Linked DNA regions of Sus scrofa. The protein of the gene in region 1 interacts with the protein of each later gene in a pairwise test. Links are inferred from orthologs where the notes say so. Each region holds a gene or a part of one and is shown on either strand. Other genes may lie near its edges.

What was found. The genes of interacting proteins can lie anywhere in the genome.
Region 2: the proteins of FLNA (region 1) and MYOZ1 interact in binary tests that used the Homo sapiens proteins (3 or more experiments, as listed by UniProt). The link is inferred for Sus scrofa from reciprocal best matches to the Homo sapiens genes FLNA and MYOZ1.

What each region holds. Positions count from the first base shown.
Region 1 is NC_010461.5:124,909,768-124,915,866, forward strand, and holds the end of FLNA (filamin-A), read left to right. Parts: intron 1-31; coding exon 32-205; coding exon of another isoform or gene 206-310; coding exon 311-472; intron 473-577; coding exon 578-781; intron 782-861; coding exon 862-1,014; coding exon of another isoform or gene 1,015-1,134; coding exon 1,135-1,257; coding exon of another isoform or gene 1,258-1,374; coding exon 1,375-1,641; intron 1,642-1,789; coding exon 1,790-1,927; intron 1,928-2,105; coding exon 2,106-2,221; intron 2,222-2,772; coding exon 2,773-2,905; intron 2,906-3,527; coding exon 3,528-4,086; intron 4,087-4,170; coding exon 4,171-4,374; intron 4,375-4,723; coding exon 4,724-5,213; 3' UTR 5,214-5,233; downstream 5,234-6,099. UniProt on the Homo sapiens protein: Promotes orthogonal branching of actin filaments and links actin filaments to membrane glycoproteins. Anchors various transmembrane proteins to the actin cytoskeleton and serves as a scaffold for a wide range of cytoplasmic signaling proteins.
Region 2 is NC_010456.5:76,448,839-76,455,518, reverse strand, and holds the start of MYOZ1 (myozenin-1), read left to right. Parts: upstream 1-2,572; 5' UTR 2,573-2,783; intron 2,784-3,965; exon of another isoform or gene 3,966-3,971; 5' UTR 3,972-3,989; coding exon 3,990-4,062; exon of another isoform or gene 4,063-5,005; coding exon of another isoform or gene 5,006-5,114; coding exon 5,115-5,293; intron 5,294-6,680. UniProt on the Homo sapiens protein: Myozenins may serve as intracellular binding proteins involved in linking Z-disk proteins such as alpha-actinin, gamma-filamin, TCAP/telethonin, LDB3/ZASP and localizing calcineurin signaling to the sarcomere.

The sequences.
Region 1 (6,099 bases):
CGGTTCCCCCCTCACCCACCCCTCTCTCCAGGAGGCTTGTCCCTGGCCATCGAGGGGCCATCCAAAGCCGAAATCAGCTGCACCGACAACCAAGATGGGACGTGCAGCGTCTCCTACCTGCCCGTGCTGCCTGGCGACTACAGCATCCTGGTCAAGTACAACGAGCAGCACATCCCAGGCAGCCCCTTCACGGCCAGGGTCACAGGTAGGTGGTACCTGGAGCGGTGCCAAAAGGAGGCAGGAGGCAGGAGGCAGGGTGGGCGCGGTCGCCCTCTGGGCCTGGACACACAGGCCCGTCCCCTGCCGCCAGGTGACGACTCGATGCGCATGTCCCACCTGAAAGTGGGCTCTGCCGCCGACATCCCCATCAATATCTCCGAGACGGACCTCAGCCTGCTGACAGCCACGGTGGTGCCACCCTCAGGCCGGGAGGAGCCCTGCCTGCTGAAGAGGCTGCGCAATGGCCACGTGGGTAAGGAGCTGGGGAGAAAGGCCTTCTGGAAAGGAGGGAGGCTGGAGGGCAGGGTCGCACCTTTCCCTGGCTGACGCCCCCTCCCCCCGCCCCGTCCGTGCCCAGGGATCTCGTTCGTGCCCAAGGAGACAGGCGAGCACCTGGTGCATGTGAAGAAGAATGGCCAGCATGTGGCGAGCAGCCCCATCCCAGTGGTGATCAGCCAGTCGGAGATCGGGGATGCCAGCCGCGTGCGGGTCTCGGGCCGGGGCCTCCACGAAGGCCACACCTTTGAGCCTGCAGAGTTTATCATTGACACCCGTGATGCAGGTAGGTGGTGGTGGCCCAGGCGCTGGGGTGAGTGAGACCCCTGTCCTGGGCCCCCTGGCTCAGGGATGGCTCTCCCGCAGGCTACGGTGGGCTCAGCCTGTCCATCGAGGGTCCCAGCAAGGTGGACATCAACACAGAGGACCTGGAGGATGGCACGTGCAGGGTCACCTACTGCCCCACGGAGCCGGGCAACTACATCATCAACATCAAGTTCGCCGACCAACACGTGCCTGGTGAGGGTGGCGCCCACACACCTTCCCCAGGGCGGGGCACCCCTCCGTCCTTGTCGCTCCCCGGGGTCCAGCTGCCGAGTGTCGCCTGTGCGGGATGTGGGTCGTGCTTTCTCCCTGCAGGCAGCCCGTTCTCCGTGAAAGTGACCGGTGAGGGCCGGGTGAAAGAGAGCATCACACGCAGGCAACGGGCTCCTTCGGTGGCTAATGTCGGCAGTCATTGCGACCTCAGCCTGAAGATCCCTGGTAGGAGCTATAGGGAGCCAGGGAGGGGTCCCAGGGAGCCCCTGGGTGCCAGCCCTAGGGGACCCCGAAGGGCTGGGGCCTGGCTCTCCTGCTCACCAGGCTGTCCCCCACCTACAGAAATTAGCATCCAGGACATGACAGCCCAGGTGACCAGCCCATCAGGCAAGAGCCACGAGGCTGAGATCGTGGAAGGGGAGAACCATACCTACTGCATCCGCTTCGTGCCCGCTGAGATGGGCATGCACACGGTCAGCGTCAAGTACAAGGGCCAGCACGTGCCTGGGAGCCCTTTCCAGTTCACCGTGGGGCCCCTGGGGGAAGGGGGCGCCCACAAGGTCCGCGCCGGGGGCCCTGGCCTGGAGAGGGCTGAAGCTGGAGTGCCAGGTAGGCCTGCCTCCTTCCTGCGGGGCTCATGCTCCTCCTGGGGGTGCGGGGGGAAGCAGCCAAGCTCATCTCAGCCCTGCTTGGAGGGGGCCGGCGGCGGGGGTGAGGGGCGGCCAGCCGTCCATGAGGGCGCGCTACTTTCCCACAGCTGAGTTCAGCATCTGGACCAGGGAAGCTGGCGCCGGGGGCCTGGCCATTGCTGTTGAGGGCCCCAGCAAGGCCGAGATCTCCTTCGAGGACCGCAAGGACGGCTCCTGCGGCGTGGCCTATGTGGTCCAGGAGCCAGGTACTGAGGGGCGGGGGCGGGGGCGGCCAGGCTGGGCTGTGGCTGTTGATCCGGTTCCACGCAGACGCAGCCCTGCCCGGCTCCCACCCTCCAGCTTGAGGTCCCAGGGCCCCTCGGGCTGTTCGTGGGAGGCGGCGGGCTCGACTGCCATGGCCGACCTGGCTCCTTCCCTGCCCAGGTGACTACGAGGTCTCCGTCAAGTTCAACGAGGAGCACATCCCTGACAGCCCTTTTGTGGTGCCCGTGGCCTCTCCGTCTGGTGACGCCCGCCGCCTTACTGTTTCTAGTCTTCAGGTGAGGCACTGAGAGAAACCGCCCGTCTGGGGCTCCTGGGCCCGGCCAGACCAGAGCCACCGCACAGAGCAGGCCTCGGCCCTGTGTGGAGGGACCCGCCCCGCCCGGCTCAGGGCACCGGGCTTCTGCTCTGGCCGGGTGCAGCCCACGCTCGGGGTCGGCAGGAAGTACCCCTGACCGCCGCGTGGAGTTTTTCTCGTGTCTCAGGTCTAAAGGCTTTGAACAGAAGCCTGTGCCCCTTGAGCACCAGGGCTGAGGTTTAAAGAGGGACAGCCTGCCAGGGTTGAGCGCTGCCCATGGGGCAGCCCCCCCTGCTGCCGCCACGCACCCCCCCCCCAGCGTGTGCCTGTAGAGCTTGGGTCTGGGAGCGGGAGCGGGAGCGTGTGCTTGGAGCGTGCTGCCCCTCAAGGATCAGTGGCTCTCCCTCTTTAAACCAAGTTGGACGCCAGATGGGTAAGTGCAACCCCGTGGGCCTCCTGCTTCTGGGGCCCTGCCTGCCCTGGCCCCCGCCCCGGCCCCGGCCCCCCTAACCACGTCTGCTATGCTTCCAGGAGTCAGGGCTAAAGGTCAACCAGCCAGCCTCTTTTGCAGTCAGCCTGAATGGGGCTAAGGGGGCGATCGATGCCAAGGTGCACAGCCCCTCGGGAGCCCTGGAGGAGTGCTATGTCACAGAGATCGACCAAGGTGAGGCCCTGTCCCTGCCCAGCCACCCAGCCATCTGCCCTGGCCCCGCTGGGAGCCGTGGGCCTCCCCCCGGCCTGTCCCGCTGGCTGGAAGCAAGCCGAGAGTGCGAAGGAAAGGCACAGACCGGAGGCAGCCGAGCCAGAGCGCAGCTGCCCCTTCGGCCAGGCAGCGCTTCCCGCACTTGTGTCCCCAAGTCCCTGGGGACCTGGCGCACCAGCCATGCAGCTAGGGACCCGAACGAAGCCTAGCTGTGGGGGCTGCTCGGCCCAGTTCCACTGGTGACAACAGCCCAGTCCTGCCCCTTCCCGGCCACATGACTCCGAGCGAGTTCCTGCCTGTCTCTGGGCCCCAGTTAACATGGGGGGATGTGGGGGACTCATCTTCCTAGGGAGGCGTCATGGCAGGTGTTCTGCTTTACCAAGCGAGCGTCCTGGCAGTAGCTTGGGCACCTGACACTTCACCCGTCAGGCTTCAGGAGGTCTGCACTGTGGCGGGGGTGGGGGTGGGGGTGCCCAGCACGGTCCCCTGAAAAGGGGTGGGCAAGGGAAGCTCTCCACAGGTGCCGCTTGCTCAGTTCAGGAGGAGGGCTCTCAGGCCCACGGAGCCCTCCTCTGTTCCTCAGATAAGTACGCTGTGCGCTTTATCCCACGAGAGAACGGCGTCTACCTGATTGATGTCAAGTTCAATGGCACCCACATCCCTGGAAGCCCCTTCAAGATCCGAGTCGGGGAGCCTGGGCATGGAGGGGACCCAGGCCTGGTGTCCGCTTACGGAGCTGGCCTGGAAGGCGGCGTCACAGGTGGGTCAGTGGCTGCAGCTTCTGCTGTGTGGACACAACTGCTAGGGCCCCTCCTCCGAGCTCTCGGTGACAACAGGAGGCGTGTGGAGGTGACAAGGCTACGCTGGGGGCGGGGGGCAGGGAACAGGCCAGGCCAGCTCTGTCTAACCTCCCGTGCCCCCAGGGAGCCCCGCCGAGTTTATTGTGAACACGAGCAATGCGGGAGCCGGTGCCCTGTCGGTCACCATCGACGGGCCCTCCAAGGTGAAGATGGATTGCCAGGAGTGCCCGGAGGGCTACCGCGTCACCTACACCCCCATGGCACCTGGCAGCTACCTCATCTCCATCAAGTATGGTGGCCCCTACCACATTGGGGGCAGCCCCTTCAAGGCCAGAGTCACCGGTGAGCCTTGTACGAGCCTCCTGCTAGCCCGCCCGAGGCCTGGCCCTCCAGCCACCTCTTAGCCCTGCCTGCTCTGCCCTGCAGGTCACCGTCTCGTCAGCAACCACAGCCTCCACGAGACGTCGTCAGTGTTTGTGGACTCCCTGACCAAGACTGCCAGTGCCCCCCAGCATGGGGCCCCGGGCCCAGGTGCCGCCGACGCCAGCAAGGTGCTGGCCAAGGGCCTGGGGCTGAGCAAGGCCTACGTGGGCCAGAAGGGCAGCTTCACGGTAGACTGCAGCAAAGCAGGTGGGCGCCCAGGCCGCGGCCTTCCGCAGAGGCCACAAGTAGGAGCAGAGAGAGAGCCAGCGCCCGGGACCGCAGGACGGGGCGAAGTGGGGGGGGGGGTGTCTTTGGGGATGAGGCTGTCCCTCCTAGAGCCGCTTCCCATCTGGGCCTCCTCTGCCTTTCTTCAGGACGGCGCCCTGAAGGAGCTGGAGTTTCCTTTGCTAGCCCGGGGGGTGGGGTGCCGGCAGCTCTTTGGCGGGGGCGGGGGGGGGGGCTGCAGGACAGGAGAAGGGCGACAGCGGGGTCAGAGCCGAAGGGAGGGGGCTTGGGGCCTAGAACTGAGGCTCCCACCCCCACCCCCCACCCCCAGGCAACAACATGCTGCTGGTGGGCGTGCATGGCCCCCGAACGCCCTGCGAGGAGATCCTGGTGAAGCACGTGGGCAGCAGGCTCTACAGCGTCTCCTACCTGCTCAAGGACAAGGGGGAGTACACGCTGGTGGTCAAATGGGGCGACGAGCACATCCCGGGCAGCCCCTACCGCGTCCTGGTGCCCTGAGCTCTGTGCCCTGGCCAGCCAGCAGCTCCCAGGATGAGAAGCGCCCCCGCGCCTGCCCTCCGCCGCCCAAGCAGCCCTCCCACCCCAGCCCTGGTCAGCCCTGGCCAGCCCTGGCCACCCCGTCACTGCAGCCAACCCGGCCCTGTGCTGCGCTCACCTGCCTCCACTTGGGCAAAGGAGAGAGGCGAGCAGAGGGAGCCATTTGGTGGCCCTGCCTGTCTTCTCTGGTTCTGGGAGGGGTGAGAGGCGGGGGTCTTGTGCACACCCACTCGCTAGTGCCCTTCCCTCGCCAAGAAGAATAAAACTGCTTCCATTCTCCTGAGGGTGGCTTGAGCTTTGTGGCAAGAGGGTCGACCACAGGGGGGCGGGACGCGTGGGCCCACTTGCCACCCTGGCACTTGGCTCCTCTCTGCCCCGAGGGTTCAGACCATGCAAGGCAAGGGGTCGTTCATGCCCCCAGAGCAGAACCGAATGCTAATGTGCTTGTCCTGTGCCCCAGGGGAAGAGATGGTGGCCCCGGGGGAAGGCCGGGCCACAGCCGGGGCTGAAGGAGGTAAAGGGCAGGGTGGGAGGACCAGACAAGCGTGACTTCCCTGGTTAAGGATCCCTCCTGTGTTGTGGATTCAGTCTTTGGCCCGGGAATTTCTGTGTGGCCGTCAGTGGAGCTGGAAAACAAACCAATGAAGGTGTTCCTGCCATGGCTCAGCGTAACGAACCCGATACGATCCCTGGCCTCACTCGGTGGATGAAGGATCTGGCGTTGGCGTGAGCTGTGGTGTGTAGATCACAGATGCGGCTTGGATCGCACGTTGCTGCGGCTGTGGTGTAGGCAGGCGGCGGCCGATCCAATTGGACCCCTAGCCTGGGAACCTCCATATGCTGCAGGTGCGGCCCTTAAAAAACAAATGAGGAGTTCCCGTCGTGGCGCAGTGGTTAACGAATCCGACTAGGAACCATGAGGTTGCGGGTTCGGTCCCTGCCCTTGCTCAGTAGGTTAACGATCCGGCATTGCCGTGAGCTGTGGTGTAGGTTGCAGACGCGGCTCGGATCCTGCGTTGCTGTGGCTCTGGTGTAGGCCAGTGGCTACAGCTCCGATTAGACCCCTAGCCTGGGAACCTCCATATGCCGCGGGAGCGGCCCAAGAAATAGCAAAAAGACAAAAAAAAAAAAAAAAAAATGAAACAGGCC
Region 2 (6,680 bases), on another chromosome or scaffold:
GGAGGATGGTAGTATGACAAAATCATTTTTTGGGTTTTTTTGTTGTTGGGTTTTTCTTTTTTTGTTTTTTTGTTTTGTTTTGTTTTGCCTTTTTGCCTTTTCTAGGGCTGCTCCCGTGGCATATGGAGGTTCCCAGGCTAGGGGTCAAATCGGAGCTGTAGCCACCGGCCTACACCACAGCCACAGCAATGCGGAATCCGAGCTGCGTCTGCAACCTACACCACAGCTCACACAGTGCCGGATCCTTAACCCACTGAGCAAGGCCAGGGATCATATCCGCAACCTCATGGTTCCTAGTCTCGTATTCTTTAACCACTGAGCCACGACAGGAACTCCTGTTTTTGTTTTTGTTTTTGTTTTTTTGTCTTTTAGGGCCACACTAGCTGCATATGGAGGTTCCCAGGTAGGGGTCAAATAGGAGCTGTAGACGCCAGCCACAGCCACAGCCACATCAACTCAGGATCCGAGCTGCGCCTGTGATCTACACCACCCCTCTTGGCAATGCCAGTTCCTTAACCCACTGAGCGAGGCCAGGGATCAAACCTGTATCCTCATGGATGCTAGTCAGCTTCATTAACCACTGAGCCACAACAGGAACTCCAATGAAATCACCTTTTGCTATTTATGTTTTGTTTTTTTGTTTTGCTTTGTTTCCATCTCATTGCTTCTTTGTGTTAGGAGGAAGTGGAGAAGGAAGATGAGGGATCTGGAGGCTAAAGTGGTCAGGGCAGAGGCCAAGTAGAGAGGACAAGCGTAACATTTCAGCCCCTAACCTGAACCTGTAAAGCTGAGGATGGGCAAAGGGCATGGTCAGGAAGAGTGGATCGCTCACAGAGGGATAGAAAGGTATTCTGGGAGTTACAAAAGCCATGTCCTAAGGTAGCCACAACAGGGTGGTGATGGGTACAGCAGAGGTGCAGCAGCTGGTTCCAAAACCTGATCAGTACATAGAGGAGTATCCAGGATGTTCATGCAGCTACTGAGGAAGGGGCTGGGCAAATGACAGGTTTCCCAGAGTTCCCGTTGTGGTGCAGTGGAAACGAATCTGACTAGTATCTGTGAAGATGTGGTTTCAATCCCAGGCCTCGCTCACTCAGTGGGTCAAGGACCCAGTGTTGCCATGAACTGTGCTGTAGGTCACAAATGAGGCTCGGATTCTGTGTTGCTATGGCTACGGTGTAGGTCAACAGCTGTAGCTCCGATTTGACCCCTAGTCTGGGAACTTCCATATGCTGAGGGTGCAGCCCCAAAAAGCCAAAAAAAAAAAGAAGGAAAGAAAAATGACCATTTCCCTCCAGGGCCTTCTCAAACTTGTTCCCCTGTCCAGAGGTGTCTCTAGACCCTTGTGAATGGGACAGTCCAGATCCCATGAGGTATGTGCTCCCTTAGGGGAAAATGCTAAGTAGGAACCTCAGAGAGTAAAGTCCTGGCAGTTCAGAGCCTACATGTACTTCCAGGGAGAGAGAGTGACATCTATCCAGCAGAGCAGGCTGAACTGAACACTCCAATGGCAAATGGGAGTGGAAAGGCAGAAATTGGTCAAATCTTCACCCACATTATCCCTGACTGCCTAAGTACTGGCTTTGGTTAATATGGTCCCTTGTCCTGCCAAGATCTGGCCCTTCCAGAGGTAGACCATCCTGTTCAGGAACTCTCGGAGTTCCCGTCATGGTGCAGTGGTTAACCAATCCGACTAGGAACCATGAGGTTGCGGGTTCGGTCCCTGCCCCTGCTCAGTGGGTTAACGATCCGGCGTTCCGTGTTGCCGTGAGCTGTGGTGTAGGTTGCAGACGCGGCTTGCATCCCGCATTGCTGTGGCTCTGGGGTAGGCCGGCGACTACAGCTCTGATTAGACCCCTAGCCTGGGAACCTCCATATGCCACAGAAGCCACCCAAAGAAATAGCAAAAAAAAAAAAAAAAAAAAAAAGACAAAAAAAAAAAAAAAAAGGAACTCTCAAAGGGCAGTTCCATTGTGAACAGATTTCCCTTCCTTTATCATAGCACCTCGGAGTTCCCATTGTGGCTCAGCGAGCTAAGAATTTGGCTAGTAACCATGAGGATGCAGGTTTGACTCCTGGCCTCACTCAGTGGGTTAAGGATTTGGCATTGCCTCGAGTTGTGGTGTAGGTCAAAGATGTGGCTTGGACCCCGAGTTACTATGGCTGTGGTATAGGCTGGCAGATGCAGCTCCACTTCGACCCCTAGCCCAGGAACTTCTATATGCTGCAGGTGTGGCCATAAAAAGAAGGAAAAAACAAAAAAAACCATAGCACCTTAAGCCCTCCCACCCCCAAAGTGCACCCATTTGTCCCTCCAGCTCCAGCCTGGATTGGCTCTGAATGGCTCTCTGGACATGTTCTCCGGGTTCTTACTCTCCCACTCCAAATTCCTGTCCACCACTTGCTGCCTGCTTCCTTTCTCCCTCTCAGTTTTCAGTTTCTCCCTGAATGCTTCTTTGAATCTCAGCCTCTAGGTGCCAAGGAAGGGGAGTCCCTGGGCAGACTAATCCCTGACCCAGACAGCTTCCTGGGAGAATCCCAAAGACCTTTGCCTCCCCTTCCTGAGCCTCTGGGCAAGGAGGGAGGGATCTTGGTTCCAGGGTCTTGGTACCCCCTGTGCCATTTGAGCTGCTTGCGTTCATCATCTCTATTAATAACCACCCTCCCTCCCCCACTGCCAGTGCTGCCCCCACGCCTGCCCAGCTCGGGTTCTCCCGTCACAGCAGCTCAGTCCTCCAAAGCTGCTGGACCCCAGGGAGAGCTGACCACCGCCTGAGCAGCCGGTAAGTCTCCAGCTTTATGACCAGAGGGGTCGGAGCCCACTCCATGAACTGCTGTGTCTGTGTCTATAACAGTGACCCTTGGTCCTGGGGCAGTTGCCCTCCTCCCCCATCTATACTCAGCTCTCAGTTGTCCAGCTCAGGGGAGCCACGAGAGTTGGAAGGAGAAGGGCCCAAGAGGGTGGGGGGAATGGAGATGATGGGGGAGGCCCTGGAGGAATAAGAAAGGGGTCTGGGATACTGGATGGGAAATAAGAACCTGGTTGCTGCTGAGAGAGGTACAGGGAGAGTCCATTTAGCAATTCCTGGATTCTGGCCTCACCAGACCCCACTACGCTAGTAGAATTGCATATGAGTTTTGAGACAGGACTCAGCAGAAAACAGCATTTTGCTGAGTGCCAACTTCTGTGAAGGAGGGGCTGGAATCTGTATTTTTCCCCAGCTTGTCCCCCTCCACGGCCAGATCCTATTATTATGGCCTGTCCTCCTTGAATTTCCCACTGCTATGGTATTGCTGAATTGACATGCAGCAGAGTTCACATGTTCCCTGACCTCCCTCTCCACTCCAGTTCTGGGGTCTGGGGGGCGGGGAGTGACTGAAAGGGAGCAGGAACATTGCTGTGACCTCCCAGGCCATGATCCAGCTGGCCGAATGGAGGGACAATAACCTCTCCTTCCTATGGAGAATGTTTTTGGCTGGATCATGTCAACACTGGCAGGACATTTTTTTCTGCTCCACTCCCCCACCCCCCGGGACTTGGTGAAGAGTGAGAGACCAGAGTTTGGAATGACATTCCCAATCTGAGAGCCCCCTGCAAATAAAAACTTCAAATCATGCCAAACCTGTGAAACCTGGTCGCATCGCCCTGCCTGTATTAATTTGTTTGTTTTACCCCCAGCCTCCCAATACACATTGTTGTTCCTAAGCCTTGCACCAACTCTTTGTAAAAGGGCTGAAAAAAGGTTGGTAGAAGGTAGGGGGAGGGGGTGCATCTATGCTTTCTGCCCTGCTTCCCAAGAAGAGAAGCCCTAAAGCAACGAGTTTTCACCTTTTAGGGGAATATATGTTTCCTTGAAAATCTAATGAAATTTTGCTCCCTGAAGTCCTTAAGCACTGCCTTACTGTAGACACTGCCACCTCCCCCTACATTCCTTGTCCATCCTTTAGCTCCCCCTTCTCACCCTATCCAGGCTCCACCCACCTCCACAATGCCGCTCTCAGGGACCCCAGCCCCAAACAAGAAGAGGAAATCCAGCAAGCTGATCATGGAACTCACTGGAGGTATGGCATGTTTGTACCTGACTGGTGTGGGATTTATTAAGAGGATCTCGGGGGAGTTCCCTGGTGGTCTAGTGGTTAGGATTTGGTGCTTTCATCACTGTGGCCTGAGTGTAGTCCTTGGTTGGGGAAATGAGATCCCACTTCAAGCCACTGCACATGGGCCAAAACAAAAAAGGAAAAAAAAGAGTATCTCTGCCCCAAGAGTTCCAGAAATATTATACATTTATACATGTATTAGGGTGAAAAGATATGAAGAGACAAGAGGAACTGAGGAGGGAAGGTGGGGGGAGGGAGAAAGAGGGAGAAAGAATTCAACTCTGACTACTCACCCTTCCACCCTTTTCACCTTGTAATCTGAGACAATAACACCCATGCCATGTTACCCAGCACAGGTCCAGGACAACAGGACCCACAGGTCAGTGAGGTATGTTTGAGGAGAAAAAATATACACGGAGACTGGCATGGAATAAGGTCTCAATAAGTGGTTAATTTCCTTACATCTTTCCCCAGAGCTTAGGAGCCTTGTACAAGCACTTAAAATGGAAAATTGCTCAAGCATTTTTCCTGAGGGTGGTAGGAGTACGTGCGTATGAAGAGCTCTCCCAATACCTAGAGGCTGTTTGCAGCCAGAGTTCACTGAGGGGAAGAAAAGGGAAAGGGGTTAAGACAGCAGACTATATTTAGAGGTGGCCTTTGGGCTTTCCCCCATGCTATAGTTTCCCCAGTGACCTCCATCTGTGGTGTTTCTTGACTCTTTTGCCCTGTACCCCATACCCTTTCACCCCATTCACCCTCGTCACTACACTCTAGTATCCCCACTGTCTCCACTCTGCACCCCAGTTCCCATGCATTCTCTCCAGCTCCAAATCCAGGAAATCAAAAGCCCTGTTAAACTAGATAGCATTTGATCAGACATCACAGACAAGGTCTGCTTCCCTCAGCGATGTCTGCTGGGAAACACACACTTTGCTGTGGATGGCGGATGCATTTGGAGCCTAGAAAAACCCTGCTTTCCTCTTTTCCTTGCTTCTGCATCCCCACTTCCCTGAAAGGTGGACAGGAGAGCTCAGGCCTGAACCTGGGCAAGAAGATCAGTGTCCCAAGGGATGTGATGTTGGAGGAGTTGTCGCTGCTCACTAACCGGGGCTCTAAGATGTTCAAACTACGGCAAATGAGGGTGGAGAAGTTTATCTATGAAAATCACCCTGATGTCTTCTCTGACAGCTCAATGGTGAGTTTGGAGTGTTACTACTCTCAAAGCCAGTGCCTCTTCTGACAGCTTCTTGGTAGCCCAAAATATTACCAACTTCCCCTCCCTGCAAACTTAGAAGCTCATTAACCCTCCAGATACATAAAGCCCCCAATATCTCCAGGATGAGTTACAGCCCACCTCTGAAACTAAAACTGTAGCTTAGAGCTAGTGAAGCAGGGTGGGGAGTATCATACCTTCAGGGAGAAAATTCCCTCCCAGTATAGTTAAGCATCAAAGATAGGATTGCCAGATAAAACACAGAACACCCAGTCCTATATTTTATTTTATTTCCTTTCTTTTTTTTTTTTTTTTTTGTCTTTTTAGGGCTGCACCTGTGGCATATGGAGTTTCCCAGGCTAGGGGTCTAATTGGAGCTGTAACGGCTGGCCTTCGCCAGAGCCACAGCAACACCAGATCTGAGCCTCGTCTATGACCTACACCACAGCTCATGGCAACGCTGGATCCTTAACCCACCAAGCAAGGCCAAAGAGTGAACCCACAACCTCATGGTTCCTATTTGGATACTTTTCTGCTGCACCATGAGGGGAACTCCTCTTTTCCTTTTTTTTAAATTGAAGTATAGTTGATTTATAATGTCTTGTTTTTAGGTGTACAGCATAGCGACTCAGTTATGCATATATATGTCTATATATAGAGAGACATATATACAGATTCTTTTTCAGATTCTTTTCCTTTATAGCTTATTATCAAATATTGACTGTAATTCCCTGTGCTATACAGTATAGTCTTATATTTTAAAGTTGAGATTCACATAAAATAAATAAGCGATAAGGATATATTGTACAGTACAGGAAATAAAGCCAATATTCATAATAACTAAATGGAATATGAGCTGTAAAAATATTGAATATTGTACATCTGAAAGTAATATAATATTGTAAACCAACTATACTTCAATTTTAAAAAATAAAGTTGATATACACACAAATAATTTCTTAGTAAAGCATGTTCCATGAAATATTTGGAACATAATTTTTTAAAAATTGAGGACAGTTAAATTTGAATTTCAGATACACAACAATTTTTTAGTATAAGTATATCCATGAAATATTTGGGACAGGGAGTTCCCTGGTGATCTAGGGGTCAGGACTTGGCACTTTCACCACTGCAGTTTGGATTCAATCCCTAGTCTGGGAACTGAGATCCCACATCATGCTGCTACATGCTACAGCCAAAGAAACAAAGAAATATTTGAGACATAAAAACTAAATTAAAAAATACAGGACACTCAGTTAAATTTGAATTTCAGATATATGACAAATACTCTCATATATAAATATGTCCCATGCAATACGTGGGCATATTTATATTGGTGTCCTATGATTTTATTTGGAAAACCTGGCAA